Linked DNA regions of Saccharomyces cerevisiae S288C. The protein of the gene in region 1 interacts with the protein of each later gene in a biochemical or structural test. Each region holds a gene or a part of one and is shown in the gene's direction. Other genes may lie near its edges.

Region 1 (3,367 bases):
CTTTTCGTCTTGAATTGTTTCTACTAGTAGAGTGTAAACCCCAAACAAAGTATAAGTTTCTTGAGTATCTTCTAGATTTGTAATCATTTGTGAAGAGTACCTATTAGGCAACTGCAAATGTAACACAATCAAACCTAATAAAATGTTTGCGTAAGCACTGCCTTTTGATATTATTTCTCTCAGGTAGTCAGAAGACCTCTCACTAGTTAGAACATTATAAAAGACAGTTATGACTTGAGATAAAGTATCGTTATTTATGGTGTGCCATCGAGGCGTTTCATATTCTGCGCTTTTTTGGCCCTTCTTGAAAGTATTTATTCTTTTCGAATCGAATGGAATTTTCATCGTAGGAGACAAATTAGCATCTATACCATGAATAATCAAAAGATTTATCAGTTCGTCTACGTATTTCATATCATGCAATGAGATAGGCAATAAGTCACTTTTACTTTCGATGAGCCTCCGTTGCTGTTCTAGTACGTGAATGTGCAAATTCTGGAATTTCTGTAAAAGTACTGCAACAAACTCATTGTTATTTGAGCACTTCAACGCCTGATAAATGGAAGAGGATGATGATGAGCCTGAATCAAGAACATATTCGTTTATGGGAGTAATTACATTGTCATCCAGATCTTCGAAGAAAACATCTAGGGCTGTCTTTTTGGTGAGCTTCGGTCTTGTATTCAATATATCGTGTATGTTGATCTTTTGCTCTTTATCCTCATTCATTTTCCAACCTTTTGTTTTTCTTGATCTGATATGACAAGAAGAAACATGAGGCGGTGATGAGCCCTTATTGCTATATGCTGTTCGACGCGATGAGATGATTACATGTTTTTTATTAAATTTCTCAAGCAGACTGCGGGTAACCTTGATTTTTAATTATTCAATAGGAATTCTTTTTTTTTTTAGAAAATAAAATGTTCTGCGTAGTGTACTTCTATTTATAAATATAATAATATTATTGATTAATTAGGCATCGCATTTTCAAAAATTTTTAAGAATGCGGGACACCAATTTGAGATTGTTGTGTCAGTAACCATCCAATGTTTAATGGTTTTCACGGCCATATTTTTGTCTTTTTCATTGAAAATCTGGGATAGTACTGTTTTGGTGTGCTCGTTTTGTAAAATCTTGGTAATGTTTGAATCTAATTTTTTCTTGTAAAATTCCAACTCCTTCGAAGAGAGCTTCGAGCCACACACACAGAGGTCGTTGATCTTAGCCACTAATTCTTCTTTACTGCATAATATCGGCTGGAGCTGTCTATCGCCTTGGTCTTTTACGAGCACACCTTCACAGGCAGATTCTTGTTGAGCAGCAGTTACAGATGGCCTCCTCAAAACTGGTGGCGGCGTAGTAGCTGTTTTAGTGTTCCCATAAAGATCTAACACTTCTGTGGCAAGTCTGCCGCTAACACATCTTTTCGATTTCGTTCTTTGTTTAGATTTGGATCTAGGTCCGCTATTAGGGTCGATAGAAAACAAAACTGTCGGACAGTCGTTATAACCAGGCACTTCAGCTTCTAGACAATTCTGAAAACTTTTGGTTGGTTTAATAGCCATCGTACGTAATAGTATGTGCGGAAATAGATTGACGAAGAACCGACAGATGCGCGTCTACTGAAGCTCTTATGAGTAGCCTGTGTGAATAAAGAAGCCAGCTAAAAGTAAATATGTGGCATCTTTATGTCTTACGAGCCGGGTACCAAGCGGCAGCAAAGGGTCCCCCCTAAACGACGTGCTTATCACCCGGCCGTTGTTTACGAAATGGCCTTTTTTGACGTTTTTAGTTTCAATGGATGGATGAAAAAAGCAAGTAAAATGACAAATAAATGCTGTTGGCAGGTTAAATCGTTTAATATACCCATAAGAGAGCTGGAATAGTGTGGAATTGTAATACTTTACATTTGAAAACTGCCCATACACGCACAAATATTGCAGCAATGAGCAACGCTAATCCTTATGAGAATAACAATCCGTACGCTGAAAACTATGAAATGCAAGAGGACTTGAACAATGCTCCTACTGGTCACTCAGATGGTAGCGACGATTTCGTAGCTTTTATGAACAAGATCAACTCAATAAATGCTAACTTGTCCAGGTACGAAAACATTATCAACCAAATTGATGCGCAACACAAAGACCTACTTACTCAAGTGAGTGAGGAACAGGAGATGGAATTGAGACGTTCTTTGGACGATTACATCTCTCAGGCCACAGATTTGCAGTATCAATTGAAAGCGGATATCAAAGATGCCCAGAGAGACGGATTGCACGACTCTAATAAACAGGCACAAGCTGAAAATTGCAGACAGAAATTCTTAAAATTAATTCAAGACTACAGAATTATCGATTCTAACTACAAAGAAGAAAGCAAAGAGCAGGCGAAGAGACAGTACACAATTATCCAACCGGAAGCCACTGACGAAGAAGTGGAAGCCGCCATCAACGATGTCAATGGCCAGCAGATCTTTTCCCAAGCGTTGCTAAACGCCAATAGACGTGGTGAGGCCAAGACAGCATTGGCCGAAGTACAGGCTAGACATCAAGAGTTGTTGAAGTTGGAAAAAACAATGGCTGAACTTACCCAATTGTTCAATGACATGGAAGAGTTGGTCATCGAACAACAAGAAAATGTGGATGTCATTGACAAAAACGTCGAAGACGCTCAGCAAGATGTAGAGCAAGGTGTGGGTCACACCAACAAGGCCGTTAAGAGTGCCAGAAAAGCAAGAAAAAACAAAATAAGATGTTTGATCATCTGCTTTATTATCTTTGCTATTGTTGTTGTCGTTGTGGTTGTTCCATCCGTTGTGGAAACAAGAAAGTAATAGAGCACATGCGCCTCCCTCCCGCCAGCCCCCCAATTCCTATTATGTGTAATCAAACAATTTCTATTAAAACCGAAAACCTAAAAATTGTAACGTCTTTTCTCTTTCCTACTATACCCTCCTCATACCTGCCTTTTTAACAATTAGTATTATAATTTTTTTTTTTCACAAAAAGACAATACCGACTATCTAATAAATAATTTTAATACGTATGTAATTTCGTTAAGAACAAGAATTTTTAAGTAAAAAATCTTACTTTTAAGAAAAACTGTCGCCCTTAATATTAGTCCCAATTTTGTAACGAAAAATAAAATACAAATCGGGGTGGAAAAAGGGAAATTTTACAACATTATTATTCCAAAAACTAGTTTTCAAAAAGTAAATCGTGGGGGTATGAACAACAATTGTTGTAGTCGCAACTACGGTAATTGGTCCTAAAAAATTATTCTCCGGGAAAAAAAGAAGAAACAAAGAGATCCCGAAACATAAGTCCCGTGATTCTTTTTGCCCCCCGCTTTCTTTCGCCAAGAGAAG
Region 2 (3,382 bases), 320 kb from region 1:
CAAAAAGAAGTGTTAAAGATGAACTTTTTTCTTTTGTATCGTCGGCTTGCCACATTCGATAAGTTAATAAAACACAAACGGGCAACACATCTACGTACTTTTTATGTGAAGACAAGAGAAAGAATACATCACTGATACGTGCGTCTATTGCGCAGCACTGTACTATTGCGAAGAACTGAGTGAAGGCAAAGAATGAGATGATCGATGCTTAGCCGACTGTTAAACTTACTGAGCGGTAGCCTCTACTAGTTCCTTAGTCAGATCGCACTCAACTTGGAATGTTCCGTCAGGCCCACGGAAGAAAAAGCAACAAAAGAAAGAAAAACCGGACAACATGCGGGAAAAATGCAAACTGTGTGAGGGAAAAATTAACTTTAAAGATTACATCAACGGCGGGAAAAGATCCTTCCGCAGTCCTTCTACTGCGGTTTCCCTGCAGGCACAGCTAACCGGAGGGAAGACAAGTCAAGCGGACATGCAGTTCCCGCTCAGGCTTCTTTGCAGAGAAATCGGAATATGAATTTTTTGTGTTTTTTGTTAACTTCTTTACCATTCGCATCACGGGAAGAGTGTGTTGGCATAAGAGGCGCAAGAAAAAGGTGACCCACGGTGGTGGGAAAGAGAAGAAAAAGCCGTTTGCGGAAAGCAATGTTTTGCCCATTCAGAAACAATATCTTTGCTGTATCCCTACATGTATTATGCCGCGTTGCTTGTGCAGGTACGGAGTCCCTGCACGATTTTTCAACAAGGTCTAGATTTGCTAAGACGATGAGGCGGAGCCCGAAACAAACAAGCCAAAAACCGGAATTTCGCGCTTGGTGTGCTTTCGCATCTTTTCGTGTGGTGAATGCACCTGGTGCACGCTGCGAAGGTGACGTAGCAATCCAAAAAAGGGAAGTCTAGGCGCTTTCAACCGCCCCCCACCGTGCATGCGGATTGGTTGTCACAATTCGCAGACATATTGGCAATGTTTCCTCCCCTCCTGTTGATGCGGGTAAGGGGTGTCTGTTATGCAGGAACAGGAAGGTAAAAATTAAATGGGCCTTAATTCTGTAGACACTCTCTTGGGGTAATAAGGTTAAAAGCCATTGTTGAAGTACGGAATCATCTCTTCATTTTTTCAGCGCTTGTAAGGAATTAATCCCCAGGAAGGTGCCGATGTAATGAGAGAAGTATTCTTGTTGTATCTCTTTGGTTCGGAGTATTTCCTTCTTTCTTTTCTTTGTAGTTTTTATGCAAATGCAGGGAACAGAGTACCCGGTTAAGGCTGTTAGTCAGCCGCACTCTACACAAAATTACTTGGCAAACACGTTGGTTGGGAAAAGCTTTATACTTGGCGGTGTAGTAATTGTAAAGGATCAAGATTGTGTCATGCTAATGTGCCGCTGTGTAACAACCTTTTTGAAGCGCGTATTTACCACCGGCAAAAGGCCATTGTGTCACATAAAAAAAAACTCCCGCCAAAGCCAGGTTCATTTTGCATAAGATTCACCACAGTACGGAAAATACGATAAGTTAACCAGTAATTTGCTCGCTTTAGCTACTGATAAACCTTCTCTGTTAACACTATTATTTTTTTATTACTTTAGATTTTTCCGTTTGTGAATAGCCATTTTTAGATATATAATGGGGTTCAGAAAAATACTTGCTAGCAAATCGCATCACAGTCGCCACCATAATCAGCACCATAAGAACCTGAAGTTGCAAAATCATCGCTATGTACTTATTTCCAATATTACAGGATCCCATGAAACAAAATATTTATCACCCTTCAGGATGGACAATTGTTCAGGAAGCAGAAGACGTGATAGGCTACATGTGAAGCTTAAATCCTTGAGGAATAAAATCCACAAACAACTTCACCCAAACTGTCGGTTCGATGACGCCACTAAGACTAGTGATGATAAATGCGTCTCTTATGAGGTGCCCGAAAGGGATGGCCTTGCTACTATTTCGTTAGAAGAGGTTTTTCCAAAGTCCAACAGGTGCCAAATACCTGAAGAAAACTTGGGAGAAACAGATAGCGTTATTCACAGAGATTTGGGAAATTTTGCAAATGAGAATGACTATCCACAGTGGAGAAAAGTTGAAAGTCAATATAACTTAGAGAATGTCCAGCCTGAGGAGGATGAAATAGTTGATAGACTCAGGTCCGAGATTAGAAGCACTAAATTAAAATCTGTAAAAACGACAAGCAGAACACTTGAAAAAGCTATAGAGGCTCGATGTACTGGAAAGAGAGTTCTTCAACAACTAAGTTGTCAGAGCAACCAACTCACCAAGATCGAGAGCAATTGTGACATGCTTAAAATTCAATCTAACGTAGCCGACCGAAAGATTGACGAACTTGCCCATGAAAATAGAAGCCTGCTTGCATTAAAATCACCCAACCCCTTCAGGAAGAAAAGGGAGAGAGAAAAGCGAGACCAGATCTACAATTTGAAGTTAAAGCATCGTCACTTACAGCAAGAAACTATGAAAAGAGCCCAAGATTCTGACAAAAATTTAGCCATAAATCTAAGTTCTGAATATGGACGGTATGGCCAAGGGGTGGAAAGACAGCGTATTCTTAGAGATGCCCAGAAGTATCAGTTTGAAGCCGATGAAGAAGATAACCAAATGGAAATCGACTTGTACGGAAACCTAGAACAAATAAAAGCGGTGAGTGGTGACTTGAAAATTATGGCTCACGCTTTTGGCAGAGAGTTTGAAGCACAAAACACTAGAATGTTTGACATCGAGAACAATGTACAGCAGGCAGATAATGCTTTACAGGCCAAGCGATATAGATTGGAGAAAGTGATCGGGAAAAGATGGTGATCTGTTATACACACAAAATATCGTGTATAAATATATTGAATAAATAGTTTCTAAAAAGGCATACGCAGATATTCTTGCGAAAGAGAAAAAAAAAAGAGCGAGGGGGACATTAGTACTGAAGGTCTCAATTCTTCTTTGTATTTTCTTTCGGAGTTGTCAGACAAAGCTTTCTCTTTCCCATAAATAAAGTGCATTCAAACATCGGCAGGTTTGTTTTTCCCAGTTGTTACGTATTTGTTTCCCGTTCCATTCATGATCTTAAACTGGGTTAACTGAAAAATCAACATGATTTTGTGAAAAGTAAAAGAGGGTAAGAAAGATAGATACCGCTGTCGTGGGACTATATTTTTTACAGTACCAAGTCTACTTGCTTCTCATAAAGTTGATAAGTTATAATTCATATAATTTCATTTGTCAAAAAAGATTTTAGTTACAAAACGATATCAAAGTTCAATCTTGTTGGGAAAAAGGAAAACATTATGAAGGGTTTCCGGTAATCACTGCGTATGCCACACTATTCCTATAGAATTGTCTTGATTGGGTGCTTATGCTGCGGAAAAAT

The links. The genes of interacting proteins can lie anywhere in the genome.
Region 2: the proteins of SSO2 (region 1) and SPO20 form a complex in vitro, tested with the Saccharomyces cerevisiae proteins (one study listed by BioGRID).

The regions. Positions count from the first base shown.
Region 1 is NC_001145.3:626,387-629,753, reverse strand, and holds SSO2 (syntaxin), read left to right. Parts: upstream 1-1,945; coding exon 1,946-2,833; downstream 2,834-3,367. Other genes in the region: RTP1 (Rtp1p), read right to left, coding at 1-729; ADD37 (Add37p), read right to left, coding at 969-1,565. UniProt on the Saccharomyces cerevisiae protein: Required for vesicle fusion with the plasma membrane.
Region 2 is NC_001145.3:305,863-309,244, forward strand, and holds SPO20 (Spo20p), read left to right. Parts: upstream 1-1,626; coding exon 1,627-2,820; downstream 2,821-3,382. UniProt on the Saccharomyces cerevisiae protein: Required to maintain the prospore membrane to the nucleus during sporulation in order to capture the daughter nuclei and form the spores.